Regions from separate parts of the Mus musculus genome. Here regions 2, 3, 4, 5, 6 and 7 are each reported to be linked to region 1. Evidence: microRNA targets listed by miRTarBase, many of them from high-throughput screens and not tested one by one. Region 1 holds a microRNA gene; each other region holds the end of a gene's coding sequence.

The links. The annotated mature microRNA mmu-miR-124-3p reads UAAGGCACGCGGUGAAUGCC and lies in region 1 at 2,314-2,333, opposite strand. An mRNA with a match to its seed (bases 2 to 7 or 8) in the 3' UTR can be bound and repressed. Matches are read on the target gene's strand: a 7mer-m8 pairs with bases 2 to 8, a 7mer-A1 pairs with bases 2 to 7 and ends in A, and an 8mer does both.
Region 2: miRTarBase lists Smc2 as a target of mmu-miR-124-3p. Seed matches in the 3' UTR shown: 7mer-m8 at 1,582-1,588.
Region 3: miRTarBase lists Aacs as a target of mmu-miR-124-3p. The part of its 3' UTR that is shown has no 7-base or 8-base seed match.
Region 4: miRTarBase lists Man1b1 as a target of mmu-miR-124-3p. Seed matches in the 3' UTR shown: 7mer-m8 at 1,604-1,610.
Region 5: the mRNA of Lhx5 is a reported target of mmu-miR-124-3p. The part of its 3' UTR that is shown has no 7-base or 8-base seed match.
Region 6: the mRNA of Rras is a reported target of mmu-miR-124-3p. Seed matches in the 3' UTR shown: 7mer-m8 at 665-671.
Region 7: miRTarBase lists Ccnb1ip1 as a target of mmu-miR-124-3p. The part of its 3' UTR that is shown has no 7-base or 8-base seed match.

Annotation. Positions count from the first base shown.
Region 1 is chr3:17,793,818-17,798,055 of GRCm38, reverse strand. Mir124a-2 (microRNA 124a-2) reads right to left here and starts at 2,394; the gene lies at 2,286-2,394. Mir124-2hg (Mir124-2 host gene (non-protein coding)) reads right to left here. Exons shown (of 3, transcript NR_033490.1): 2 at 3,043-3,463. Gm51272 (predicted gene, 51272) reads left to right here and starts at 2,315; the gene lies at 2,315-2,371.
Region 2 is chr4:52,485,961-52,490,198 of GRCm38, forward strand. Smc2 (structural maintenance of chromosomes 2) reads left to right here. Exons shown (of 25, transcript NM_001301412.1): 25 at 537-2,405. The coding sequence ends at 695. Among named protein-coding and RNA genes, the nearest start is that of Smc2, 49 kb to the left of the region's middle.
Region 3 is chr5:125,515,887-125,520,124 of GRCm38, forward strand. It overlaps Aacs (acetoacetyl-CoA synthetase), which reads left to right. Exons shown (of 18, transcript NM_030210.2): 18 at 330-1,519. The coding sequence ends at 467. Among named protein-coding and RNA genes, the nearest start is that of Tmem132b, 14 kb to the right of the region's middle.
Region 4 is chr2:25,349,830-25,354,067 of GRCm38, forward strand. It overlaps Man1b1 (mannosidase, alpha, class 1B, member 1), which reads left to right. Exons shown (of 13, transcript NM_001029983.2): 13 at 533-2,384. The coding sequence ends at 736. Dpp7 (dipeptidylpeptidase 7) reads right to left here. Exons shown (of 13, transcript NM_031843.2): 9 at 3,779-3,897; 10 at 3,531-3,687; 11 at 3,324-3,388; 12 at 2,857-2,927; 13 at 2,461-2,737. The coding sequence ends at 2,590. Among named protein-coding and RNA genes, the nearest start is that of Dpp7, 4.4 kb to the right of the region's middle.
Region 5 is chr5:120,439,894-120,444,131 of GRCm38, forward strand. Lhx5 (LIM homeobox protein 5) reads left to right here. Exons shown (of 5, transcript NM_008499.5): 5 at 65-1,564. The coding sequence ends at 432. Among named protein-coding and RNA genes, the nearest start is that of Lhx5, 10 kb to the left of the region's middle.
Region 6 is chr7:45,020,867-45,025,104 of GRCm38, forward strand. Rras (related RAS viral (r-ras) oncogene) reads left to right here. Exons shown (of 6, transcript NM_009101.3): 5 at 221-339; 6 at 414-780. The coding sequence ends at 498. Among named protein-coding and RNA genes, the nearest start is that of Rras, 5.0 kb to the left of the region's middle.
Region 7 is chr14:50,786,456-50,790,693 of GRCm38, forward strand. It overlaps Ccnb1ip1 (cyclin B1 interacting protein 1), which reads right to left. Exons shown (of 4, transcript NM_001111119.1): 4 at 2,794-3,557. The coding sequence ends at 3,358. Among named protein-coding and RNA genes, the nearest start is that of Ttc5, 3.1 kb to the left of the region's middle.

The DNA of each region.
Region 1 (4,238 bases):
GTATTATTGTGTTTTTATTATGTAATATGAATTACACTGATGTAGCAGGACTGTTAGACCCTTTTTGCTTTGTGAGGAGCTCAGGGGATTGTGAGGAGAGACCACCAGAATAACTAGGTCGTTGCTGGAAGGAGGAGCATCCATGACAACCTTCAGCACTTCAAACCCATTCCCATTTCTGGTGAGTTTTTTTTTTTTTTTTTTTTTTTTTTTTTTTCAGCGACACAAGAGGGGGTTTCTTTGTGTTTGAGGTAGCTCTTGTCCCAACAAAGTGTGATATCGCCATCTCACCCCCCCCCCCAGATTGTGTAAAATCAAATGCAAACCTAAAATTTGTGGATATAAAGATCCTAATTTACAGAGTTTTAAAATCAGAAAACAAAACTAAAAGCCACCTTTTTAGGATGGAGTGAATAGGAACTAGACCCCCAAGAATATCATTTCTGAGCTCATTTTTTCCTGAATCATTGGCTACATTTCAACCATTCAGGTGGAAGAGAAGAAATAGTATAAAAACATATTTTTTAGGCCATTGTTCATTTATGGACCATTTCTATGCCCAGGTAAAAATCACTGTCACTGTGTCTCTTTACAGCTTTGTTTAGTTTATCTATGACTGATGTTTGACAGTATTTATGATGTGAATCTACAAAGAAATTCAAGCATGGAACATTTTCTTTCCTGGACCCACGGCTGAATACAAACCAATCTATTGTCTATTACTTTTTCCATTGCACATATGACTCAATATAGAAATTAATATTTTACTATTTATATACAATACTCTCAATATTTAAATTAGAATGCTGATAATTTTAAATATATGTTGAATGCATTAATTCAGACACATTTGACCCAGGACTCCTAAGACAAATCTTCATTATATGGGATTTGGTAAGCTACTCTGCCTCCCTAGTGAGCTGTGCTCTGCAGTATGGTTTTCTCTGCACTGTGGGATTCAGGCCTCCTAGGACTGCAGTACCTCCTGTGAGGAGCGAGGCTCACTGCCAGCTCCTGGGCACCATCACCCTGCCACTCTGTGGGCCTTGGCCTCAGAACTCAGTAAGGAAAGCTGTCCCACAGAAAGCCTTGCTGAGAGCCACGAGAGTGGTTGCAGGCTTCTCTACTCCTGCCTGCTCTGGTCACTAAATCAACCTCAGTCAGAACCTTTTAAATATATTTTGAGGCACACTCTAGGGTCCTTTGAGAGGTATCTTTGGTGACCATATCTGAGATAAGATCCTCAACTGAAAACCGTGTGTTTCTCTTTTCAAGATTGTGATTTAAGAGGAAAAAAAATCTATTTAATCTCTCTCTAGCACATTTTGTTAACTACTCGGGTTTCTGGCCAAATCAGCTGATTGTCAGAGTGGATGGTTTCAGCAAAATACTGTTTAGCCTGTCTTTCCGTATTTCAAGGTTTTTATTTGTAAGTTAACTAATATCCTGGGGTATGGGGCTGGGTTAGAGAAGAAGCGATTCTATAATTCTATTGCCTTGTTTGCAGAATTACCACAAGAGGAGGGGGAGGAGGTAATGGAGGAGGAAAAGAAAGAGGAAGAGGAAGATGATCCTGTCAGCAAGGCGAGGGTGCGGCCACTTTGGGTTATCCTTCTCCAGCCTCTCCTTTGTTCCCAGGCCAGATAGGCCACCACAGAACAAAGACTTCCACCAAGGCTCTTTCTCAGCGGTGGTTTTCTTAGGCTTTCGGGTTATGGAACCTACCTTAACTAAGTACCTCATGGTCTTCCAAATACATTAATTTACCAAGTCTTAGAGTTCCTGGCTTGGCCTTTCCCTCTTATTGGACAATATTGACTGATTTGGGTATTGTCACTTTGCCTTGGCCTTTTAAATCCAGTCAAGGCTACCATGAGACTGGGTAAAGAATGGGAGAATAGTGAAAAGCTTGGGGCGGGGGTCCTATTTTCACTGATAATTGAGTCATTTGAGGTTTCTTATGCAGTGTGGTCTGGGGTTTCTCATCCGTTTTGTTTTCCCAGTTCGACCCAGAATTTTATTTGGAAAAGGCCAGCACTCTCTGAGTGCCATCTCTTAGACCGTTTGCACCAATGGGAACTACAGCTCTCCTGACAGCTGTCAATGAAACCTCTAATATTCCCCTTGGGAGTATGCATGCGGATTTCCCAGATTCTCGCTGAAAAACATTTGACTGTCTTGTATTCTAAAGATTTTGAATCAATGCGAGGGGTCCTTGTGTCGCACAGGATGGGTTCATTCTAGAATTGTTTCTCCCCACCCTTCCTAACTTCTCTCGGATGTCCTTCAAGTGCAGCCGTAGGCTCCGCTCTTGGCATTCACCGCGTGCCTTAATTGTATGACATTAAATCAAGGTCCGCTGTGAACACGGAGAGCAGAGTCTCTGATCTTGATCTAGAAGCAAGTGACTCATTGCAACTATTACTATAATTTTCTCCCTGCCCTTCACCCTCTCTTGGAGCTCTAGGCTTGGAGTCCCTACTCCTAGAGTTGTAGCTCTGAGCAGTACTCCCACCTCAGCTTTCCTCCCGCCACATCTGTCAGAGTTGCCATTAATTAGTCTGCAAGGTTGAAGAGTAGCGGGTGCATGAGTCTGCGATTCTTATGCATACATCTGCATGCCATTTACAGCGCACCTAAAACCCATACATATGTCTATAAATCTAGTTTTCAAATGATGACATGGATCGAAGTTAATTACCCCTCTGGTACAGATCTAATTTCGTAATCGTGTTATTTTACTGAAGGCAATTAACTGAGTTGGTTCGCCCTGAATGCCGTCCTAAGACATTTGTAAGGAAAGGCAAGTCTTTAAGGACCACACCATGAGTGTTCTGCTGCAGAAACCTTTGTCACTCATCCCCTGTTGCCAGAGATCTAGCAGAAAAAGCGAATATAATCATGCATGTTTGTATGTCCGACAAACACACGTATACGCCTTTGATAGCCCGATTTTGGTTGGGAAATTTTGGGAAAAGATCAGAATCCCAGGCCGGCTGGGTCCTCCTTCTTTGTATTGCGGAAAAATTAACTCAACAGCACCTGCCGAGTCCCGGGAGAGCTGGGGCCCATCTGGTCTGGCTATGATTTTACTGCGAAGAGAAAAGGCTGCTTGCTCGGGCTTCCTCCGGCTCTGGAGAGCAGAGATCGGGTCTGAGCCCGCTCTGGGCGTAGATTTAAGGGCAGCGCAGCAGATGCGCTCTCTCTGACTGCGGCGGGAGTCAGGAGGAGATCCGAGTCTGGGCTCGGCGGAGGGAGGGCAAGATGGAAAGAAGAAGAATGAGGGGAGTTGACCTCTACGGGCGGAGCCCTCTGGACGGCAGGCCGGAGGCGGCAAGCAGCGGCTCTTTTCACAGCATCCCTTGCGGCTGGGTGGGCCAGGGGGATGGACGGACTGCGCTCGCCTGAAGAAAGCCAAAGGGCTCAAAAGCAGGTTTTGTGCGGAGACCCCAGAGCGCTCCCCCTGAAAAACAGAATCAAAGCGCAGAATTAGAGCAGGAGGGAGGAGGGGGAGACTGGAGAGGAGGGACAGGAGGAGGGAGGAATCACTCTAGGGAGCCAAGGTGACCGGCCGTCCGGACCTATAGAATCGAGCTCGGGGAGCCCCTGCAATGTGCGGGGCGACAGGGGAGTTCCCAACTCAATCCCGGCTTCGGAAGGTGAGAAGATGCAGTCAGGACGAGAGAAATGTTTTCCTGAGATGGAGTCTTGAAAGCGAGTCCTCAGATTGTCCTCTGTGCAGTCTCAGCGATTTGCGCATCCCGCGCGCCCTTACCCATCTAACCCCTCCCTCAGACCACACGCCAGAACCGCATTCTCCAATCTCCACCCCTTCTTGGTTTAGAATCCTGCAAACTGCAAGACTGAAGAGTTCTCGCATGAAAATCGAAATGATCGATGAAATAAAGAATTTCATATAGGCATAGCCCTAGAAATCCAAAGGCGAAAGAGCTGCTAGCTCTGCTCAAACCTGCAGAGGACCAAAGCGTTTTCAGGGGCTGCTCCGCGTGTTCTCGGAGGAAAGAGGAGGCTGAGTGGTTTCCGCGATATAAGGTGCTTTAGGATGGGCGGTGGGGGCAGGGAGGGGGTGGATCGTAGCGGTCCGGTCTTTCCCCCTCGCTTGCTGATCCAGAATTAGGGATTAATGGCTCGCTCCAGCCAAACAAATAAGGCATCTGCCTTCAGCACAAGAGGATTACACGGGCTGCTGACGTCACCAGTCAGACAGATGTTGGCTC
Region 2 (4,238 bases), not on the chromosome of region 1:
ATTATTGGTTGACTACCCTCCTTGAAAACTGCATGGCACCTTCTGATACCATGAAAAAGCTAAGCCTCAGGAAAGAGGCTTTCAGGTCAGAATCAATCAGCAAGTAGCCTGCAGATACTTTGTCCAAAGCTCATAGTATCCTTAGCAGTAGTGTAGCTTCCACTTCTGGGAGGTAACCAGGGGCAATAGTAATGGCCTTTGTGTTTTACAAGGTACTTGGGAAATCCTGACCATCAACTCAGAAGCTTCTCATGTTTATATGCCTACTATTAGTGTGTTAGTCCTTAGCTTCTATGTCAGTCTAGATGGGAACATTTATATTTACACAGAGACACACACACACACACACACACCACCACCACAGTTTACCATTTTTCTTGCTGTTTTCCTTATGCCTCCACCACCCCTTCCCATCCCATGGTCTGCTTTTACTTTTTTGTTTTTGTGCTCCATTCAATTCTTAAATCCTCTTTAGAGAGTGAACAACTTTAAGAATATTTTCTTTAATGTTTTTTTCTTTTTTCTCTTTCCTTAAGTTCATTGTGGTATCCCTCAAAGAAGGTATGTTCAACAATGCAAACGTTCTCTTCAAAACCAAGTTTGTGGATGGTGTTTCTACAGTAGCCAGATTTACGCAGAGTCAAGCTGGGAAGATTCCGAAGGAAGCAAAGTCCAGAGGAAAAGAACCCAACTGAGTGCATGCCAGTTCAGAGTACAGACTTCTCACCTTGACGTTTTTACACATGAACTTCCAAGAATTTGGGATCCAAGTTGTTTATATAATAATGTTAACATTATTTTCATATGTAATTCTTTTTAGCACTTTTAAAATTGCAGATTCCTCTTTTCTTACCTAGTGTGATTATGGTCCAATTATTGTAGTTGTGATTGCATGTATATCATCAATTTTTTTCTTACAAAAATCTTTTGTATGTATTAAAGAACCTGAGGTACATATAGTTGGTAAATTGTGTATGCAAATGCCCAAAATACAAAGAAACAGATGAAGTTATAGGATAAATATAGCTGACAGTCAGCTTTTAACTAGTTTAATTTCTAAGTACAGTATTAATGACTTTTCTTTTGCTTATAAAATCATTCAGATACAGAATAGTTGTAAAGAAAGTCACTGGACCATTAAAGGGAACACATAGCAATTATGCATACACCGAGCTACTTGAGGTCAGTCCTGTGGAGACAGCATGCCAGATCCTTGGCTGGGAAATGGATCTGGAGAGACTTTCACGTTAGTGAGGTTGGACTATCATGTTTATGTATGTTTAATAATTGATCTCCACAAGCTTGAAATTTGAGTGTTTTTTAGCTTTGAGTATTTTAGTAGGAGCTTGGGAAGAAATGTGTTATTACACAGTATTACACTTGGATTATTCTATCTACAGTCCTGTAATATTTTGTAAGATTTCTATCAGACTTCTCATAATCTAATCAATAATTTTTTGGTGAATGTAGGACCTAGCAGATTAAATGAAAAGTATATTTTATAAGAGTCTGGTAAAGGTAACTAAGTCTGTCTTCTCTACCAAAAAAACCTCCAAAGCTTCATGATTGATGAAATTCTTGGTGCCTTCTGCTTGTCTGGGTCAAAGGTAAAACTCCTTTAGAAAGCAGGAGGGGCCCAGTACACACCCTGAGATCCTGCAGCTCTTACTGTCTCTACGTACATTTCCACATCAGCACCTCATGCCCGTAATCCTCAGAGCGCTAATGTGATCTGATTGGATTGGACAGATGGGGCCCATGTTTCGTCCTGATACTTAACCCTTAGTTCCTTGATGTTCTACTTTCTTTGTTGTGTCATACAGGCCCTGAGTTGGACATTTCTCAAACTTATATATGTGGTGTTATATAGACCTTAAGTCATTTGTACCCTGGAACATTTTGGAAATTATTTCATCTGGAGGGAAGTGGCAGTAGGCTGAAAATACTGACTGATGCATAGTAGAAATCTCAGATAATGGACCTACACAATGTTTTGTTTTCCAAGGGGTTATAAACTATTGGTCAAAATAGTTGTGTTTATTTACCCTGTCTCTAATAGTGGTATTCTAATTTGATCACAATCTAGTCAATGCCAGCTGTTAATATTTTGTATTAGGCAATTATAAAATAGCGTTGAATTGCTGTCTTAAGCTTATAAGTGACTATTTTGTGTGATTTCCTTTGTCTATAAATTATTTCCTTGTATGCCTTTCTGTTTTGTTTTCTTTTGTTTTTGTATTTTATATATAGTTTCACTCATATTTTTGTGCATATATTAAATTTCTGTGAGACATGCTAAATTTTTGTAGTACTACAGTTTTTATTTCAATATAGAAAAGTTGTTAAATAGTGACTTTTCATATATTCATAAGAAGGTGGGTTAACTAACATTAATAACTTAAGCCAAACATTTCTTTTGTTTGTTTGTTTGTTTGTTTGGTTTTGGTTTGGGTTTTTTTTTTTTTTGGTTTTGGGTTTTTTTCAAGACAAGGTTTCTCTGTGTAGCCCTGGCTGTCCTGGAACTCACTCTGTAGACCAGGCTGGCCTCGAACTCAGAAATCCGCCTGCCTCTGCCTCCCAAGTGCTGGGATTAAAGGCATGCGCCACCACGCCCGGCCAAACACTTCTTGTTTATATGTATTTTCTTACTTAGTCCTCACATAACTCAATAAGGTAATCTTTATCAGAATTCTGTTACTGAGGAAACTGAACAGAGGTTACATAAATTGCCCATAGTATCACTTAGTAGTATCAGATTTGGGGGAAATACCTTTTTTATTTTCCTAATACTGTATATCCATGGACTTTTCTACCATGTCCCAGTTCCTGAATATCCATTCAGAGGCTTCATATCATTAATAAATGCCTAGGCCATGAGCTAGGCTCAGTCCCTGACTAGCTCTTAACTTATTATTCCATTTATTCTAACCTGTGTCAGCTATGTGGCTGATTTCTTCTCTGCTGTCCTTCAAAATCTCCCCTGACTTTCTTTCTGCTGGACATGGCACCTTCTAACCCTGCCTTACTCTACTGGCTATTAGGTTTTATTGACGGGTGATCCTTCCTACCATGCTATCTACAGCAGCCACTTCACTACCTTCTGAAAAACACTGCTTAACCAGACCCTTGTAGAGGAGAAGCCTCTAACCATGGTTTATAAAATGATCATATGCCGTAAAACCCCTGTTTAGCTCTGTTTCACCAGATCTACTAAGTCATTTGGGAGCAACAATACATTTTAAGATGAAGTTGGTGCTGGCTGTAAATCCCTTAGTGAGCCAGGGTTCCCAGATAATCCACTATCGCCTACGCGAACACATGATTTGAGGGGAATCCCATTCAGCCAGTTAACAGACAAGAGGAGAAAGCACGATTTCAGGTCACAGATGAAAATGCTGCTTGTGGATTAAGTTTACAATAAAAGTACCATAGGTCTGAACACCCTGAAAGATGGTGGCAAGTGAAAAAGTCAATGAGTAGATTTAAATGTTGCAGTTGGCCTTGTACTTTGTGTGGAAACAAGACCTAAAGTTAAAAATGTGCAAAAAAAAAAAAAAAAAAAAAAAACAAAACAAAACAAAACTCATAGGCCACGGTGAGTGGCTTGTCTGGTTACAGAGACTATAACAGAAGTAGTGGCCAAATTAGTACAGGTATGCAGAATGAAGTATGTGGGAAGATAGAGGAATGGTGACAGGCTTGAAAAGAGTACTACCACTGGAGAATCTCCACCAGGGAAGAGGTACCAGATACCTAAATGGTCAGTGAGCTGAGCAGCTGTCAGCAAGATTTGTGCTTCCAGTCTTCCTAGCATGGGTACTGAGGCGCAGAGTTGATGTTGTACTTCATTGTGGTGCTGACAGCTGTCCAGAACGGAGATACTGGGTCAGCTTGTATAAAGAGCCTTGGTTTGGAAACCAGCTACTGGCTGGTGTTTGTCAGTATTCTACAGAGTTTATTCAGTAAGGTTTGCTATGACCTTTAGGAAACTATTTGTAGATTGTAGATAAATTTGATTGGGAGAGGAGTAGATTTGATTAAGGAGTGACTGCCACAGATGTTGGAAGTGTCACTGGTTAGGAGTCTTCAACTGCTGTCTGTTTCACATTTTGGTTAAGCTCCCAAGAATCTCTGCCTCAGATTGTATCTTGGCATGGTAGGGAGGATTTGCATCTAACAAGTTATAGTTAAAAATGGACCCAAGAATCAAGCCCATGTAGCCATTTTAATGCCTGACA
Region 3 (4,238 bases), not on the chromosome of region 1:
GGCAAGGACCATGTGGCCCCTCCAGAGCACCTGCACACGTGCCTGGTGAGGTGCACAGCATTGGAGACACCCCTGTGCTCATGTGGTTTTGACCCAGGCATAGAGTTGTGTGGCATGGTTCCGTGGACAGTGTCAGCACTGCCTTGGCTGTCGTCACCAGCGGGTTCCCTCAGGTGTCTGTAGGTGCCGTGGCATGTGTTCGAAGCCACCGCATAGCTGGGTTTATGGATCTTTTTGGAAGCGAATATGGAGGAGAAGCCAGAGTCAGGGCTGCTCTGCCGTCTCTGGTTTAAACACTCCTTTCTGTGTTCTCTGTGTCTGCCCCACAGTACACACTCAATGGCAAGAAAGTGGAGGTGGCCGTGAAGCAGGTGATGGCTGGGAGGACTGTGGAGCACCGGGGGGCCTTCTCCAACCCCGAGACCCTCGACCTGTACCGGGACATCCCTGAGCTGCAGGACTTCTGAGCCAGCAGCTCGCACTCCATCCAGCTGTGCATGTGATGGAACTTAGGGACACTTTAGAGACAACAGCTGCTCCAGGTGGCCCTGGCACTGCACACTCCACAGGCTCAGGAACAGCTTTCCTCTTTCGGAGTCATTGGTGGGGGCCAGGTCTCCCGAGCTCCAGGATGTGCCTGGCCTTCGGAGACCCTAAGCATACACTGAGGCTTGTCTCGGCCCTGCTGCTATAGGTCAGCACACAGCCTTGCAGGGGCAGGGCTGGTGACATTTGGTGACAGCACACTGGAGGAGCGATGTGGCCTTCAGCCTCATGAGCCCGCTGTTGTATCTCGCTCTATGAAGGTGAAGTCTTACCTATACTCTCTGTCCTTAACTGGCCTGGCTTCCTCAGCGTTACTGTCTTCTCAAGAGCTGACTAAAGCCAGGGCACCTGGCCCAGCATGCCTGTCACCTCACAGCTGGCTGTTGGGACACCTGGGCTGACGGCTCCTGTACCGTCTACCAAGGCCAGAACACCATTCTAGGGAATGGTGAGTGAATTGTCCAGACAGCCAAGAGCTCTCTGCTATGGCAAGTCCCCTCTGCTGTCGGGTGTCCCCGACTGTTTCTGGGTCTTACCAGCACAGTGTTTGAATGGGTCAAACGGTTTAATGTTAATTGAGGGCCTGGGGGCACTTGAATCCCTGGGTGTCTACCCCAGGTTACCACTTAGCTGTGTGCTGGGCAGTGTGATCCTGGAGTCCGCCAGGGATGGAGCTGCCCCGCCTCAGAGGGAAATGGCCCCGTGCTCCCTCCTAATAGTTCCTGGGCTCTTTCTATTGTGACTGTCCTCTACATTTGTAAATGAAGTCTCAGGCTTTGGCTGCCAGGACTTAATGGTGCTTCTCCTCTAGCACACGGAATATGTCATAAATCCTGGTGATTGCTTTTGTATTTTTTTTTTTAAAAACTGAGCACAACATAAAACCTTTTAAAGATATCCTGGATCTTAAGTCTATAAAGGAAAAGTGCTATGAAGAATTTTATGGAATAAATCTGTGCCATGCACACCTGTACAAGTGCAGTACGCGTGTGTTTCTCTGAGGTGATGGGACTCCACATTTGGCTGGCCGTACCAGTGTCAGCTCACTGCTGAGCTGTGAGGTGGTGTGACCCAGCACAAGATGTATAATGGTGTTTCCTGAGCTCTTGGTGTTTAGCATTGTCTTGGTTTGTGTTAAGCCGGTGTTGCCCTGGGCCTCCCCATATCCTGGGCCTCCCTGCTTCCTGGAGCTGGATTACAGGGCGACTTTATCACGGGAGTCTCCTTGGATTTTTGCCACCTAGCCACAGACACCCAGCTCAGCCCTCCATAGCCTTCCTACCACAGAGAGTGGGTAGCAGTCCTGATCTCTAGGATACAGGAGCATCTGGTCCCCGCTTTGTGCTGTGTGCTCCATCGTTCCTGGTGTGGTTGTCTGATCGGCTGCCTGGTGGTGTCATCTGGTTCGTTCCCACCAAGCCTTCCTGTTCCTGTACCCATTCCTGCAGGAAGGGTGAGTGACGGAAGCCTGGCTTCAGCAGAGTGATGGCTTTCCTGGAATGTGTCAGGTCAAGCTGCCTGAGCCCCACTGGCTGTGCTGCAGGGGCGCTTGGGGGCCTGAGCACTGAGGGGACCTTTTGCAGTTTCCCGTTGATTGGTTGTCATGGGGCCTTGACCAGGGGCTCCTAGTTCAGGGGTCAGAGCCCGAGGTGGCCCCACCAGTGTGCACAGGGCTGGCTCCTAAAGGTTCTGCAAGAGTCCCTTCCTGCCTCTTCCTGTTATTAGGGTTGTCTGGGTGTCTGCTACCTCAGCCAGGGCCTGTCTGTTATCTCTAAAGCCTTGGTGGGCTCTCATCCCGTTTATAGTATGTATCTTGGACCCTGGCCATTCCTGTGGCCACCGGTTTTCTTCCCTTTGCTGTGTGCTAGTAAGCATCAGGTTCCCCAATCCCTCTTGCCACACATGTCCCCAAAGGTTCCCAGAGGAGGAAGGGACATCATGGAGGTGGGTAATCTGAATCAGGCTTCTTGTGTGATTTCTAGGGGGCTACACAATTGAGGATGTGTCTGGGCCTTGCTCTTTTCCGTTCTCCTGTTACATTCATTTAATTTGATGGTATAGCGGATGGAACATGGGGCCTCATGTGCTAGGCTGGTGCTGTATAGCACTGAGTTATATACCAGCCCGTTTAAAAAGAGACTTATGGGGCTGGAGAGGTGGCTCAGTGGTTAAGAGCACTGACTGTTTTTCCAGAGGTCCTGAGTTCAATTCCCAGCAACCACATGGTGGCTCACAACCATCTCTAATGGGATCTGATACCCTGTTCTGGTGTGTCTGAAGACAGTGACAGTGTAATCATATAAAGTAAAATAAAAAAAGAGACTTTTATGTGTATGAATGTTTTACCCCGAATATGTATGTGAATTACACGCATGCAGTGCCCACGGAGGCCAGAAGAGGGCAGTTCAGGATAGTGTGGAACCCTCTTGTGAGCCCTGGGGAGATCAGCCAATGCCCTTAACTGCTGAGCCAAATAACTCAGCTGTGCCAGTCTCACCTCTTGAGAACGCAGGTTCTTATAAATTCTCTATCCCATAACTCATTGTTTTCTTACTCTGACTTAGCAGGGACTCGGGGTGTGACAGTTCTGTGAGGTCTGCTTCCCTACATGGTTGACCTAGCAAATTAAACATGGGGTTTAGCCCCTCTGCTTGTCTCATTTCATGGCAGTAGCCTGGGGACTGACCGGTGTGCCACGGGCTGGGGGGTTATGCGTTGGCATTTCTGGCTAGGCAGCCACTTCCCTCTTGTCCCACCTACCTGTCCCCTTCCATCCTGGTATCTCGGCTCCCCACATGAAATGCAGAGGTTGGTGATGGATGGTCACTGTTCATGGTGGCTTGGTCGGGCACTCCGTCAAAGTGACAGTGTCATTTTCAATGTTCTGTCTTCAGACCCCAGGTTTATTTTTAGCCAGCCTTCTCTGAGGTGGAGCCACACAGCAGTTCCCAGGCCTTGCCTCTCATCCTACAGACTGAGGAGGGCCAACCAGTTCAGTCAGAAATCCCAGACCCTTGTTCAGATGATATCCTATCATGACCCCTGCTTTAATCAGAAGATACTCTCATGATTCTTAGACACAGACGCTCTGAAGGAGTTGGATCATGGTTAGCTGTGTGTGTTTGAGATGGGGTCTCTTGTAGCTCAGGCTAGCCTCTAAGGCTAGACACCTCTAAGGGTGTCTGAATTCCTGATTCTCTTGCCTCCGTAACTTAGTTTTTATGTGTCGACAGAATTTGGGGCCCATGGGTCTAGTAGGCAAGTACTTCACAAACTGAGGGCCAGGTAGGATTCCAAGATAACTGCTCTGGCCCTAGTCACAGAAGCTGTGTTCAGAGCCTGAAGAGGTGAGACATGGTCAGACATTTGCACTCTTTGGGGAAGGGGCCGGGGTCCCTAGGTAGTCTCTGGTCCAGAAATAGATCTGCAAGGCATTCTGGGAAAACCATCCTTTAGCTCTCCTACCCTGGGTGAATGAGGAGGAGGGAGCCGGGAAGGTGTTCAAGGCTGAACTTAACTGCATAAATGACAAGGCAGACATCAAGGCTGCTTTGGCCTGGCCAAGGATGCCTCGAGAGGCTTCTGACTCCTCTGTGACAGGCACAGGGCTGGCTGAGCCACTTCCGGCCCTGCCTGGGTGGCTGCCACCTTCACTCTGGAGGTGGGAGACATTAAAAATCGGAAGCTAGTCT
Region 4 (4,238 bases), not on the chromosome of region 1:
TTCTCAGGACCCAAGCTTTTCTGAGAAGGGTCTTTTTTCTCTTGCCCTGTCATACCCTTGGCTTATGAAACACTCACAGTGAGCCAGAGTACTGACCTCACACATTACCCCTCCCCAACTGGGGTCCATGGCCTACCTTGCCTTCTCTCTTACTGTGACATGGCCAGAAAAGGTTATAGAGCTGGATGTGGTCTAAGTGTGACACCTAGCTCTTTGCTCCAGACCTCAACAACTCCAGCTTCTTGCCTGTGCCTGCCCTGGGTTGTGTTTAACAAGCTAGACCCTGGTCATGTCCTGTAGCTGTACCCTTCTTGGAGGTATTTTCTGGCCACTTGGGGGTTATTGGCATTTTACAGGGTCCTGTGTAGAACTGTGGTTGACCTTGGACATTACCTGGGTAGTTGCTAGGATGGAGCCTACCCTGGGGCCATATATGTGGGGTTGAACAAGTAGCCTGAGTGACACGTCTAGCTAGAAGTTCTTCACAAGGCTTGGCTCAACCTGTGTCATTGAGGCTTTGGCTCTTATGCAGGTCCCCTCAGGTGGCTATTCTTCTATCAACAACGTCCAGAATTCCCACAAGCCTGAGCCCAGGGACAAGATGGAGAGCTTCTTTGTGGGGGAAACCCTGAAGTACTTGTACCTGCTCTTTTCTGATGACCTGGAGCTGCTCAGTCTGGACAGCTGTGTGTTCAACACAGAAGCCCATCCCCTCCCCATCTGGGCTCCTGCGTAGGAGGAGAGCACCTGGTCTGGGCACTGATGGAGACTGAGGTGGGCCTGTTGGGTCCCTGACCTTCACAAGGCCCACATAGTTTTGGGCAGCTGTCAAGTGTGATGTACCTGCCCAGTTGTAGGTCCCTCCAGTTTCAACTTTTCATGAAGGTGGTGGGAGGGGCAGGAGTCAGACTAGCAGGTATGGGTTCTGGGGTTTAGGCTGGAAAGTCTACCAAGCCTTTGACTTCCTCGAAACCTCATATCATGGCTCCTGATTCCCATACCTGAATGACCCTGTTGGCTGGCTACCGGCAGCCCCATGGTAGTCCCAAGACTTCTTATCACCTCCTGGGACCACCCAGGACCCCAGTGCCTGTATTGAGTTCAGAGTGATAGCCCAAACCAGTGAGGTGCTGGGCATGGCCCAATGGCCTGTGATAGCCCTGACTCCTGATTGACCCATGGGTCCACTGGGCCAGTGTGACCTTGAGGGTCTTTGTGGCTCTAGTGTTTACGGGTTGGACTCAGGGATCCTCCTGGCTACCCTACTGGGCTGGCGGGGGTTAGAACAGTAAATTTGTCTTATTCCCAGGATACCCTGGTATAATGTGATCTCTCAGCTGAGAAGAAAGTGGACTTGGTCCCACTGTAATGGTTCTTGTGGAGAGGAGGGAAGGGGTGGTGTCTATCTAGACTGACCTTAAGGGGACAGCAGGTTCTCTGGATAACATCTCAGCAACTACCCTCTAAAGTCAGAGCTCCTGTCCACTTCAGGTAGGAAGGCTTTGGGGCCATTATACAAACAGGCTAGGATGCTTGGTTGTGCCGTCTCACAAGGGCCTGTGAAGATCACATGCTGCTGCCGGCTGATAGGTTTGTGGTAGTTGTGCCTTGGTGTCTGAGCCCATGGAGTAGGCCCTGTCTTTGATGAGTTGTTACTAGACTATCCCTGGGCCTTGGCTAGGATTCTCCTATCCAATTCCATGCAGTACAGCATAGGGCAAACTGGACAGAATAGAAAGGACCTCAAGGCTCTGGGCCTGTGTTCCCTGTATATCCCAAGATCTGGAGATTTGACATGCTAACTAACTCATCTGCAGCTCAGTGGCAGCCACCTTGTGCCTCTGAGGTATAGTAGCTACGCTGGGGACTTCCTGTTAAACACGTGGACCCCAAGCCAGTTCTAACACCAAAGGTGTTTACAAAGAAGGACTTGGCTGGTCACATATCCTTAGGCCTTGAGTTTATGGGTAGAAGCTGCCGCCCTCCACCCCCCCCCCCCCCCATCAGTTATAACCCTTTGGTTGATGTTAGCTTCTCCCTATGCTGTCCTCCTCTACCGGAGCCCCATAGGCTTGTGAATGGACAGGTTCAGGCGGCGCCCAGGGCCTAAGCATTGAGAAGTGTATTCTCCATCTCCTGCCAAACTATGGCTGGTGTCAAGGGATGACAGTAACTGCCCTGTGGCCCTCTGAAGAGGTACTGTGGATCAGAGAAACTGGGTAGATGTCCACAAAGCTGGGAGCCTCATTAAAGCATACAAGATGGGAATGGGCCTGGAAGGGGAGGCTGGTGCCCAGTAGAGGCAGGTTTCCCTCCTCCTCCAAAGCAGGAAACCTGAGAGCTAGAGTCCCTGCTTAATTAAATGTCTAAATGGTCTCAGCAAGCTGTGTGCAGTGTTACTTTGTGTAGAGCATATCTCCAATTATCTCATCCTTCCATGCATGGATCCTACTAGACAAGGACACATTAACATGTGTTTATTCAGTTTCTTCCATCTACCATAAATCTGGACAGTCCATCAGATACAAGGCAAGTTGTCACACCACTGTAGATCACATAAAACAAGGGATGTCTGGGGTTTGCTGCATCTTATCTGGAAGGGTGCTGCTTCTTAGGCCCAGGCCACCGTGGCATTGCTGGTTGCTTTAGTCTGGCTGCTGCTACCCACTCACGAATGAGGGTAGATTCCAGCTTACGCACCTCCACGACAGATGGGGGGTCTTCTGAGTTAGATGCTCTAAGAAGCAGACAGATAAGGGGTAAGGATACTCAGCTGGCAAGCAGACAGGGTCAGCATCATGTCCATCTAATCCACAACCCAACAGTGGCCTGGAGGTGGGCTGCACTACACTGTACCTGAGATCTAGGTGATGTGCTCCCCCCTGGATGGTGACAGCAATGACTGATGTACTCAGGTTGCTCTGGATCTGTTGGAAGAATCTGAGGCATGTAGTCTGTGCTTTAAGCCACAGGTAGGCAAGCCCTGTCCCACCCTTGCACCCTGACATAGATGCCAATACTGTCTTTGGGATGCAACTGAAGCAATAATGAGCTTACTGCACAGTTTCAGATAGCTCCATTGGAAAGAAAAGGTTGGATGTGATGGGCCAGATGTTAGACTATACATCAAGTGATGTAGGGGGAAAAAAAGCAACCCAAAAGAGAGAAGAGGAAATAATGAGGACTGGAGCAACAGATGAATTGGGCCAGGTGAACCTGAGTGTCAATCGCAAAGGCAAAGTTGTATGAGGAGCCTAGCAATGCAGTTCAAGCACTGCCCAGAATACCCACATGGGGCCAGCAGCTGCCAGGCCTGGACTTACCCCGCCCCCTGCCCAGGGGTCTAGGTCACCGTTGGAGAAAATGATGTTGCTGGCTGCTTTAAGGTCTAAAAGGAACACAGCAAGTGGTGGCAAATTATCCAGGGCTTTAAAGCTGTGAGCTGCATCTGGGCACTGCAGAACCAGCTCAGGACAGAGGACAGGATCCTTCCCAGCATCCAACTCCCAAACACCAGCCCAGGCCTTTACCACCACCCCAGAAGCTGGTCTGCAGCCAGTCTTGCCGAGGCCACACGCCCCATGTATCCAGACAGTATTGCTGGCGGAGTTCTTCAGAGAATGGGATTTCAGGAAACATGTCTGTCACATTGTTGCTGTCAAAGGTCAGATTGATCTCCGTACAGGCCTGTAGGTGCCCCACAGTAAAATAAGTCAGACAGGCAAGCCACACACCCAACCCCTATGCTTGGTAATTTAGCTCCTCTCTGTCCACAAACCTGGTAGTCCCAAGCCCTAGCGTCAGAGCCAGTGCCACAGCCAGTGGGGTCAGCACAGCTTTGGTATAACCGGTAGATGTCATAACAGGGTTCCGTGCCAGAGGAGTTGTAGACCAGCCCTGGATGGGATTAGTGCTGGGACCAGCAGCCAGCCAGCCAGTACAAGCTCCAGCCACTACCCATCACCTTGGAAGGAAGGCTAAGATAGGTCTGCCACAGTAAAGTGAGCACTGGGAGGCTTGGGAGCATGTGCCACCAGCTGGCCCGGCTGTTTTAACAGCCCAGAGACACTATGTTATATATCCCCAGTACCCTACCCCACAACAGGACAGAACAGGCATGCAGAGCTTTGTGGCTAGGGACTCCAAAGGCCCCATAGCAACCCTCAGGGGTAGCTATGCCTGTTCCTAGGATGACTGGAAAGTCATGCTACCCACTTCAGCTTATGCCCAGTTCCCAA
Region 5 (4,238 bases), not on the chromosome of region 1:
TAGGTCCCTATCGGCCCTGGCAGTCTGTCCTCACACGGTCTCTTATCCCTTTTCCCTCCCGCAGACTACCAAAGTGACTACTACGCTCCGGGAGGCAATTACGATTTCTTCGCGCACGGTCCGCCGTCACAGGCGCAGTCCCCTGCCGACTCCAGCTTCCTGGCAGCATCGGGACCTGGCTCGACGCCGCTGGGCGCGCTGGAACCGCCGCTGGCCGGGCCTCACGGCGCGGACAACCCCAGATTCACCGACATGATCTCGCATCCGGACACGCCGAGCCCCGAGCCGGGCCTGCCCGGTGCGCTGCACCCCATGCCGGGAGAGGTGTTCAGCGGCGGGCCCAGCCCGCCCTTCCCCATGAGCGGCACCAGCGGCTACAGTGGACCCCTGTCGCACCCCAACCCTGAGCTCAACGAAGCGGCCGTATGGTAAGGCCGAGGGGCTGAGTTGTCCCCCTGCCACCAAGCCCGGGACGGGACGCCGCCTGGGTAAGCCTCAAGAGTCCTCTCGTGGGTTCGCACCCAACCAGGCCACTCGCATCACCACCCCTCAGAGCTTTGGCACGCGCCTGCGCAATTTCTCGGGACCAAAGTCAATATTCTGAAGGGTCGAGATTCCAAGCACATCTTAGAAGCCCTCCGGATCCCCCACCCATCATCACCTCCTTGAACTAAGAGAGGGGGATGAGGCCAAGGAGCGGAGACCATGGCACTACCCCTCCCTGCGAGCCGAGGCATTGTGAAATCCTATTTCTCACTTTCTCTTTTAAAAAAAGAAAGAAAGAAGGAAGGAAGGAAGGAAGGAAAGAAAGAAAGAGAGGTTGAAAGGGGGAGAGAAAGAGAGAGAGAGAGAGAGAGAGAGAGAGAGAGAGAGAGAGAGAGAGAGAGAGAGAGAGAGAGAGAGAGAGAGAGAGAGAGAGCGCGAGCGAGCTGAGGAAAGCTCAGCCAGAGAAGAAAAATGAGGAGGACCGCCGGTGAATGGTGGCTTTGCAGGAAGACAAATCCACCTGCGAGTTGGCGCCCCCTGGTGGCTCAATGTCAGCTTGTCTAGGAAGGTGCGCGGTCTGGGCCTGGCCTTCCTGAGCCCAACTCCCTGCTCCTCCATACTTTGAGTCTGAGGGGCCTGGCAGGATTCGAACCCTCCCACCCTGCTCTGACCCTGAGCCGGGCGCCAAGTCATTGAGCATTTGCCCACGGATCACTCTCCCTGCCCGGGACCTGGAGGCTGGGCCATCAGGACGAACAGTATTATACTTTTTTGGAAGTCGGACGCTTCTAGTTTCCTTATTTTGTATAAAGAAGAAACAAATAAAGTATGTTTTTGTGTCTACTGTTTATTTATTGTACTCTAGTTATCTGGGGCTGGACATTTTTATATTTTTAAGAGGAGGGTGGGGCAGAGTTGGGGAGGGGAGCCAGAAAGAGGTTTACAAAAAAAAACAACAACAACAAAATAAAACACACACAAAAAAATACAAAAACAAACAAACAAAAAAAAAAACAAAAAAAAATCAACTTTTTTTTAACAAAAAAGAAAGATTAATAAAAAAATTCTTTTTTCCCTCAACTCTGTGTGGTCTTTTTTTCATCCAGTATCTTGAGAGTCAGGGTAGGTGTCCCCAAAATTACAACTTGACAGTTACAAAGACCCCTCCCCCACCCACTAGGGCAGTAATTCTCAAACTATGAGTCGAGACCCCCAGGAGAAAAAAAAAAGACAACAAACCTTTCACAGGGCTCACCTGAGACTATCAGAAAACACAGATAGTTACATTATAATTACATAATTACAGTTATGAAGTAGCACCAGAAATAATTTTATGGTCAGGGATCACCACAATGTGAGGAAGTGTATTAAAAAGTCACAGCCTTAGGAAGGTTAAGGACAACTAAGCTAGTGGCTTTAGCTTTAGTTTTGTTCCTTTTTTTATTTCATTTTTTTTTTTACTCTGTGTGTGTGTGTGTGTGTGTGTGTGTGTGTGTGTGTGTGTGTGTGTGTGTGTGTATGTGTGTGCAGAGACCAGAGGACAACATTTGGGACCCTTCCTCCAGATGGATCCCGGGGATGGGACTCACATGCATCAGACTTTGTAGCAAACGCCTCTACCAACTGATCCCTCTTGCTAGTCCCATTTGGGGACTTTCTGTAGTGGACAATTGTCTCTGGTGCTTTGATCCAGATCACAAGCCAGCCAGGTGCATAGTAGGTCTTCAGGATGACTGAGAAATGAACAGGTGCTTGTTTCTGTCTCCTTCAATTATGTCAAAAAGAAGTGTAGTCTAGCATTCCGGATGTACACCTATAAATCCCAGCACTTGGGAAGCTGAGGTAAGAGGATAGCAGGTTCTAGGCCAGTCTGAGCTACATAGTGAGACCTTGTCTCATAGAGGGGGTGGGGACTGGGAGAGATTCTAATTTCTTCTTTTTTTAATTTTATTTATTTATTTATTTTTATTTCATGTGCATTGGTGTTTTGCCTGCATGTATGTCTGAATGTGAGGGTGTCAAATCTTGGAGCTATGGACAGTTGTGAGCCGCCATGTGGTTGCTGGGATTTGAACTCAGGACCTCTGAAAGAGCAGTCAGTGCTCTTAACCGCTGAGCCATCTCTCCAGCGTGGGATTCTGAGTTCATCCCTATTTATATTGCATGTGATTTCCAGATGGCTGCAAACAAAAGCAGAAAATGCTATGGTCATGTGCCCAGCAAGGTACAGTCATCTTTAAGGCTGCTGGGGAGGACGGGTTCTGGAGAGTGAGCCTGTGGTTCTTCAAGCCTTGTGGAGTGTGCACTGCCTTTAGACAGACAGAAATGGCTATGACTTTTGTTGATGTTGTTGTTGTTGTTGTTGCTGCTGCTGCTGCTGTTGCTGTTGCTGTTGCCGTTGCTTTGTGTTTTGGGACAGAGTCTTGCTATATAACCCCAGGCTAGCCTCGAACTTGAGGCAATGCCTCCTTAGCACAGAGATTACAGGTGTGCCCCACTGTGACTGCTGTGGGGGGGGGGGTTAGGGATCGAACCCATGACTTCATGTATTCTGGGTGAGTGAGTACTCTAATCACTCGGGTTGAATATGATTTAGGAGACCTGAGACCACACCTAAAAACAAAGCCTCTCTCTTCTCTGCCCCAGTTTCCTATCTTGGAGAAGCAGAAGCTGGGACGACTGCTTCATTCCCTCCCTTCCTATTTAGGCCTGATAGGCCCAGACAGGCAGAAACGGTGTGGAAATGAGTGGAAGTGTCCACCTTTGGGTCCCTTGTCACTCACGCTCAGGAGGGGGAGCTGGTCCACTTTAGCATCGGTGAAGAGGGTTTGGGGACAGGGAGAATGAGCTGCTTGAAATGAGCTCAAGAAGAGGAACCTGTTCCATGGTCCTTGTGGCCCTCGAAAGATTCCTGCAAGGTGGCCAAAATTTCCCCTTTGCATGCACCTCTTAGAAGCTCTTAGGTCGTCACCAGATAACAGCCAGCTGCTCATTATGGAGAACTGTATCGAGCGTTCAGATCAACAAAAGGCAGAAAAACCCATCACCCGGAATGCCAGGCACTGTGGTGAGGAGAGGTCTGTCCAGCCTCTTTTTCCTGGGTATCCTCCCTCCCCACACACACCACCCCGCACCCCAACCCTACCACTTCAAATCTCTGTGCAACTAGGTGCTTCCTCTCCCACTGAGGTCAGACAAAGCAGCCCAGCTAGTAGAACACATTCCAAGTACAGGCAACAGCTTTTGGGGTAGCCCCCATTCCAGTTATTCAGGACCCACATGAAGGTCAAGCTGTACATCAGCTAGATATGAATAGGAAGCCTAGGTCCAGCCCTTGTATGTTCTTTGGTTGGTGAATCAGATTCTGAGAGCCCCAAGGGTCCAGTTAGGAGACTCTGTTGGTCTTCCTTTGACTTTTGAAGCCCAGCGTTGTGCTCAGAGCACAGCCATGGGGTTACCTGCCAGCTCAGAACATCTTTCAGGTTCATGACAACCTTCTAGACCATTGGTTTTTAACCTGCAGATGGCCTCTTTGGGGGGGGGGGTCACATATCTGATATTTACATTGTGATTCATAACAGTAGCAAAATTACAGTTATGAAGTAGCGATGAAGTAATTGTATGGTTGGGGGCAGGGGGTCACCACAACATGAGGAACTGTGTTAAAGGGTCTCAGCATTAGGAAGGTTGAGAGCCATTGGTCTAGACAGAGCCATATTTAGTCTCTAGTTCCTTGACCAGATGAGCAGCTT
Region 6 (4,238 bases), not on the chromosome of region 1:
TTCTTGCCTGCCTGCCTTCCAGTTACCTAAAACACCTTCATAATCTTCCTGACATCTCACTGATATCACTTCAACCCTCCAGTAGCCTCCTCTGGGGTCTTTCTAGAACTTTCTATCTTGAGCCTGCTGCAGTTATACAGTCGAGCACACCTTGCGGCGGCTTTCAGCATCTCCTCTCTCCGACGCCTCCCTTTGTCCTCCTCCCTCTGTCTTTCTCCAGGTCCTCCGGTCTGAAGCCTCCTCTTTCAGTGCTTCCCACCACATGACTTACTTTGAGGCCTCAGCCAAACTGCGTCTGAATGTCGATGAGGCATTTGAGCAGCTGGTGCGCGCTGTCCGGTAAGCCCGGTATCCCCTTCCTGACCTCCCGGTCATCAGCCCTGCATCACACACTCACAGACTGCTTCCCACAGGAAATACCAGGAACAAGAACTCCCTCCTAGCCCACCTAGTGCTCCCAGGAAGAAGGATGGAGGATGTCCCTGTGTCCTGCTGTAGCCAAATAGCCTCAAGTGACCAGCACAAGCTCTCGGGACCAGCTGCCTCACACTTACTGTGTGGACCAAGGCTCGCTCTAGCTGAGCCTCTGTTTCATCCTCTGGGTTCCCCAGGACACACTACACCCTCTTACTTTTACTTCCTGGCCTCCTGGGGCTACCACTGTGTGCCTTCTGTCAATACCTCCTCCTTTCCCCACAAGACCCTGTAGGTGGGGGGAGCATCTTGTCACTGCTGTATATAAGCCCCATCTTTCAGAAAAATAAATATCACTGCCAACAACTGGAGATGCTTTTTATTTGAGGAGTTGTTAGAGATGGACCTAGAGTCGCATGCCTGCTAGGCAAGGGCCCACACTCTGCATCCACAGCCCAGATTTTCAGTTTGTTGTTGGTTGGTTTGATGATTTTATTGCTTTGTTTTGGTTTTCCGAAACAGGGTTTCCCTGTGTAGCCCTGGCTGTCCTGGAACTCACTCTGTAGTCCAGGCTGGCCTTGAACTGAGAGATTTACCTGCCTCTACCTCCTAAGTACTGGGGTTAAAGATGTGCGCCACCATGCCACACTATTTATTTTTCTAAATGGGAATGGTAATCTGGCTAGATGGCCAATCAGGTAAAGGTGTTTGCTGCCAAGCCTAACTTTCTGAGTTCAGATATCAAAACCCATATGGCTGTGGGGGAGTGGGAGGGCAAGAATCAATTTCTGCATTTCTCTGCTATCTTGAATGCTGTGGCACCTGCACATGTGCTGGATAGGTTTTTTTGTTTGTTTGTTTTGTTTTTTGTTTTTTGTTTTTGAGACAGGGTTTCTCTGTGTAGCCCTAGCTGTCCTGGAACTCACTCTGTAGACCAGGCTGGCCTCGAACTCAGAAATCCACCTGCCTCTGCCTCCCAAGTGCTGGGATTAAAGGAGAGCGCCACCATGTCTGGCGCTGGATAGTTTATGTCAACCTGACACAAGGTACAATCTGAGAGAAGGGAGCCCCAACTGAGAAACTGCCTCTGTGAGATCAGTCTGTAGGAAAGCATGTAGCACATTTGCTTTCTTGTCTTTCTTTTTTTTTTTTTTTTTTTTTGGTTTTTTCAAGACAGGAGACAGGGCTTCTCTGTATAGCCCTGCTGTCCTGGAACTCACTTTGTAGACCCGGCTGGCCTCAAACTCAGAAATCCGCCTGCCTCTGCCTCCTGAGTACTGGGATTAAAGGCATGCGTCACCACGCCCAGCTGCCTTCATTTCTTAATTCAAATTTATTTTTTACGCATTGGTATTTAGTCTGCATATATATCTATGTGAGGTGTTAGGGTCCCTGGAACAGGAGTTGCAGGCAGTTATAAACTGTCACATAGATGCTGGGGATTGAACTGAGTCCTCTGGAAGACCAACCAGGTTTCTTAACCACTGAGCCAAAGTCTAGCCATGTTAACTCATTTTGTAATTAGCAGTTGATGGGGAGAGCCCTGTATATTGTGGGTTTTGCTACCCTGGGATTGTAGGCACCGTTTTATAAGAAAGTTGGCTGAGCAAGCCAGTAAGCAGCACCCTCCGTGGCCCCTGCATCCACTCCTGACTTCAGGTTCCTGCCTTGCTTGAGTTCTTCGCCTGATTTCATCCAAAGATGAACAGTCATATGGAAGTGTGGTTTTTTTTTTCCCCAACCTTTTCCTCCTAAATTTGCATTTTGCTATTGTGTTTTATCATAGCAACAGTGAATTTAAACTACGACACCTGGTGTAGTGGCACATGCCTATAACTCTAGCATTTTGGAGGCTATAGGAAATTTCAGAGGTACAAAAGAATTAGATCACAAATTCAAGCCCAGCTTAACCTCTATGACAAAACCTTGTGTGTGTGTGTGTGTGTGGGGGGTGTCTAGAAAGTTCTAGAACTAAACTATTCAATATGGTGGCAAGAACCTACATATGACTATTAAAATTAAAATGGATTTCCTTGCTGGGAGGTGGTGGAGCACACACTCTGAAGGCAGACGTAAGTGAATCTGTGAGTTTGAGGCCAGGCCTGTCTTCAGAGTAAGTTCCAGGAAAGCCAGGGGCTACACAGAGAAACCAAAAAACAAAAACAAAAACAAACAAACAATTTCTGCCAGGCACTAGTGGCACACACCTTTTAATCCCAATTCTAAAGGAGCAGAGTCAGGGGAAATATAAGTTTGGGACTAGCCTAGCCTACAGAGTGAGATCCAGGATAACTAGGGCTATACATAGAACCCATCTTGAAAAAACAAATTAAATGATGTATATGGATGTTTTGCCTGCATGCCTGTGTACTGTGTGCATGCAGTCCCTCCAAGGCCAATAAGGTGGTCAGACCCTGCAGAACTGGAGTTATTTTGGGGCTGAGAAAAGAACCCCAACTTCTGTCATAACAGCAAGTGCTCTTAACCATTAAGCCACCTCTCCGGCACATGGACCATTTTTTGGCACATACACCAACATGTCTACTTTTCATGTTATTTTTCTTCGGAGTTTTATTTATTTATTTATTTATTTATTTATTATATGTAAGGACACTGTAGCAGTCTTCAGATGCACCAGCAGAGGGCATCAGATCTCATTAGGGATGGTTGTGAGCCACCATGTGGTTGCTGGGATTTGAACTTCGGACCTTCGGAAGAGCAGTCGGGTGCTCTTACCCACTGAGCCATCTCACCAGCCCCTCATGTTATTTTTCTTAATTTAGGAAATGGTTTCTGCCTGGGCAGTGGTGGTGCATGCCTTTAATCCCAGCACTCAGGAGACAGAGGCAGGCAGATTTCTGGAGTCCACAGAGCCTGGTCTACAGAGTGAGTTCCTTGAAAACCCAAATAAATGAATAAATATAAAAATCCATTCCCTCAAATTCAAGATCCCAATAGTCATTCACGACTACCAGTGGACCCTAACAGGCAAAGCAAGATCCCGACAGTTGCAGAGAAACCAGCTGCAAATGCTGTTCTAGAAACTTCCAGGGACTTAGAGACTAGAACTCCATCTAGTGATGGACATCAGGCACAGCCCCATGCTGAAGAGACGGACAGATGAGCAAGATGCCTTCTGGGTTTGCGAAATATCTCTGTATACTGATATTCAAGCCAGGACCCACAGATCCTGCCATACTGTGTGACATCATGGAAGGCTGGGTCCCAACTTGGTGACCACAGGACACCGGGCACAAACCTCCAACCCCATCAGACCAAAATGGGCTTTACTGAAAGGTCTCACTTAGCCCAGCTAGCCTTGAACTCTTGATCCTCTTATTTCCACTCCCCGACTGTTGGAATTACAGTGGTGAGCCAGGGTGGTGGTTTGAATACGCCTGGCCATAGGGAGTGGCACAGTTGGGAGCTGTGACCTTGTTGGAAGAAGTGTGTTACCGAGGGGGTTGGCTCAAAGACCTTCATGCTAGTTGCCTGAAGCCAGTCTTCTGTTTTGGCTTTGGAACAAGTTGTAGACCGCTCAGCTCCTCCAACGCCATGCTGTACAGACATTGCCGTGCTTCTCGCCATGATAACGGATTCCTCAGAATCTGTAAGCCAGCCCCAATTAAATGTAGTCCTTTATGCCTTACCTTGGTCATGGGCTTCTTAGCAATGGAAATCCTAACCCAGGCAGTATCCTGGCTTTATCATCCACCTTTGAACTCCAGCCCTCAGCCAACACACCAGGGTGGAACTTACTGTGAGTGTCCTGTGCAGAACACAGGCCTTCAGGTGCATCAGCATCAAAGGTTGACCACGAACAC
Region 7 (4,238 bases), not on the chromosome of region 1:
CTATGTAACCTCAATTGTCTGAAAGTCTGTATGTAGATCAGGCTGACCTCGAACTCAAGGAGTTCCTCCTGTCTCTGCCTTCTAAGTCCTGAGATTACAGACAGGCATCACCACATCCAACCACAATCTTAAAACTTTTAAAATTCCTTTGCTAAAAAAATTATCTCTGCAAAAAGACATTAAACACCTCCAAATGCTTCCAAAAAGACTGTGCAGCAGAGACAAAGAAAAAAAGTGATCATTTCCTGAAGTGGAAATTTCTGGAGACTCAGGTCATAATGCTTTGCTGGGGCAGACAGGTGAAAGGATGTTTGGCTGAAGCAGACACAGGTGAGAGGATGTTTAGCTGAAGCAGACACTTGAGAAAGAATATAAATATGATCCCACAGACAGTGAGTGGGACAAGGCTTGTGCTTTGGCTCATCTTGCACCTCGCTAGTCTCAGTTGATAGCGCTCTAGGCCTTGCACCACCTTGCTGATCTCTGCTTCTCACTGATCTTAACAGAGAGTAACTCACCCAAGAACTTCTCATGATATTCCGACGGCTTCTTGCCATTTCCACAGACTCCACACCGACCCAGCAGAGCCTCTCAGTTTATTCTGAATCCAGCTACAGCTGCTGAACTCGTATGTGGTGTCTGCTGAGTGGATGGAACTGCATCTGCTGATTGGTGTGTGGTAGTTTGCTAGTAGAGTGAACTGCTGATAATGCTGACAACAAAGATTGGAATCACCCAAAGAACTCTTTCTAAACTAAACAGGTCCACTTCCCGTGTCCTAATAACCTTTCTTTTGCATGACCTCTGGTGGGTGGGAGGCTAGAAGTGAAGTTAAAGAATTTAAGGACCCTTATTAAAGTACGTTTTGAAAAAAAAATCTAAGCCTACAATTCCCTCTGCTTTTTTTCATGCCTTTAAAAGAGCCCACAATGGGGCAGTCGAGATGGTGCAGTAGTTAAGAGCACTTGCTGCCTTTCCAGAGGATCCAGGTTCAGTTCCTAACACCCACATGGCAGACCACAACTGACTATAATTCCAGTTCTAAGCTATCTGACACACTTACACAGGCATACATGCATGCAGGCAAAAACACTAATGCACATAAGGTAAAAAAAAAAAAAAAGAAATCATAAAAAATGAAAAGCCTGACATGCAAATTAAAATTAACTTTTTTAAGAAACATAATATTCCTGACAGTTTATAATTAAATTTTTTTCAAATTTACCCTACTTATATTTCAAACTGTTCAAGATGCCTATTTCCTTATATTTTTCCAACAAAATTGAAAAATCTCATAGAAAGAATATTTCTTAAACTATAATCTAAAATCTTTTTACTAGCTATAAAATATGTATTTTCACTTATTGGTCTTGGTGTTAGGTGCTTCAGGGAGGTAGGCAATGCCATCAAGGGGCAATCATCTCAACCAAGCTTTCTGCCCTGTGCAGAAAGGCGACTAGGGAAGCAAGACTGGCAAGCCCCACACTGTGCCATGCAAGATGACAAGTCACTGTGTCTCTGTTGGTGCATCTTATCCCTGCTCCCAGAGGCACTGGCATGTCTCTGCTCCTGTCCCCAAGAAGCTCATGATTGCTGGCCAGTATTGATAACTGCTACCCATCAACCAGGGGCTGTACTTGCCACCATGGACAACTTTGCCAAGGCCACCATTGATGCCACCTTTAAGACCCACAGCTACTGTGGGTCTTGCCCCCACCATCCCCAACCTCTGGAAACAGACTGTCACCAAGTGTCCTTATCTGGCAAAATTCACTGACCATCTCCATAGTAAGCTCAGGCCTGAAAAATAATAATAATAATGTCTCCACAAAAACAAAGCTAGAAAGGTTAACTCCGTCTCACACTGGTGTATGTGGAGGGAAAACCCTTGGAATCCAGTTACTGTTCGCCCTCTAGTGGAACACTAATTGAATGTACTAACTAGGCACAATTACCCTATAAGTCAGAAATAGTACTTGATAAAGAAAAACTGTTTAAAAGCATTAATATACCTTCTTATAGTCAGCAGCACTAGTATAGGAATGGCTTGATAAGTTCTGATTAAAGTTGACCTTCACAAATCTTTCACCTAATCTGTAACCATGTTAATGTGCTTTGAGGTCATTTCTAAGTAGGAACCACTCGTACTTTATAGTCAACCTGTTCAGAATTGACTGAACCAAGAGAACACTGTAGAGTCAGTCTTACTACACTCTGGACCTCCAGTGCATCTCCGGGCTCACCTGAATTCACAGCCTTAGCAATGTTCTGTAAGCAAGGCCAGAAAAACAATTTTCTCCCTTATAAGATTTGCATAGAAGACTAAGCAAAAGCTACTTGGTCCTTTTTGGTTTGTATAGGTTCTTGAGACAGGGTTTCTCTGTGCAGCCCTGGCTGTCCTAGAATTCACTCTGTAGACCAGGCTGGCCTCAAACTTAGAAATCTGCTTGCCTCTGTCTCCTGAGATAAAAGTTGTACATCACCACCACTTGGGTCCTCATGACTATATTTGCTGTACAGCTCAATAAAGATGGCCTTTATTCAGCATTTTAGATTAGGTAATTAGAATGCTAGAGACCAAAGTCTTCACACTCTTGTGCACAGGGACACAGATAATTAAAAATAAAAATATGCCGGGTGGTGGTGGCTCACGCCTTTAATTCCAGCATTTTGGAAGCAGAGGCCGGCAGACTTCTGAGTTCAAGGCCAGCCTGGTCTACAAAGTGAGTTCCAAGACAGCCAGGGTTACACAGAGAAACCCTGTCTCAAAAAGCCAAAAAGAAAAGAAAAAAGAAAAAGTAAAGAAGCAGTTTTATTTTGAAACAAATAACAATGAAATCAACAAATAACTTTATCAGTATAAATTATTTTTACATATAAACAATTCATATGCATCAAATTGCACATTCATTCACTGGCATAAGTGCACCTCCAAAACAAAGTAACACAAATGAAAATACATGACTGTTAAAATACATGTTAATGGAAAGCCACCATTTTCCAAGACTATCATTTTTGGCCATCATTTTCCAAGACCATTATTTTTACAGAAATATACTAGCAGAGAAAAATCAATGCACACATTTAACATAAACACGGTAGAATCAATCCAAAGCTCCAGGGAAACATAACACTGAGGCTTCTATGAGCATAAACACAGCTTGGTCTGAATCAGGATCTGTGCAACAATGTGATTGTGTGAGCAATGACAAACGTAGAGACTGAGATTCATGAAATGCCCATGCCCTAAGCTAACAATCAAGAAACCAAACAGGAAGCCACACGCCCTACTGCAAGCCAACTTCTTCTAAGGTCGAAATGTGAAGAGAACTCAGGGATGCAGGAATGAAAAATGAGCTAAATTCTTTTTGCTTTAAAGGCCCTGCTGCAGACTTGCTGCTCTGCTTCATGGCTTGGAGATGCAAAACTAAAGAAGTTGTTAATGGGTTCAGGCGCTGTGGGAGAACACACAAAAAATGGTCTGAACTGAACATCTTCATCTCCACCACCTTGATTTCCAACTGGTATATGGTCCAAAGAAAACTTTGAGTTATTCCCTAGGGGAGGAAATGAGGGGAGAATATAAGAATATTTCTTAAAAGATCTTTAGGAACAAAACTCATAACCACTAAATATATATTAACAAAATTCAACTCCTACAAGATGGATAGTATAATTACCTTAAACTCATCTCCTAGACCAAAGGGCATGTCACTCCGCTTTCCCCTACCATGGAATATACTATCCCCTCTGTAAAAATCAAGCAGACAGAATAAACATCTGACCATTTCTACCACACCTTCCTTGGCTTTAACATACTTCAAGGAGAGGACTAGCTGACTTCATCTGCCAAAAGACAGCAAGGATCAAAAGCTAAGAAGAGGTCTGGAGGAAAGGCTCGGGGGTTAAGAGCACTTTGTGCTCCTGTAGCAGACTGAGCTTTTGTTCCTAGCCCTCACATAGTGGTTCACAATCATCCAGTTTCAGGATCCTACCCTCTTCTGGACTCCATGGGCAGTGTACATGTGGTGCACACACACACACAAAGCTGGGCAGTGGTGGCACATGCCTTTAATCCCAGCACTTGGGAGGCAGAGACAGACAGATTTCTAAGTTTGAGGCCAGCCTGGTCTACAGAGTGAGTTCCAGGACAGCCAAGGCTATACAGAGAAACCCTGTCTTGAAAAAAATTTTAAAAACAAAAAAATAAAAAAAATTTTAAAAGCACAAAGGAATTA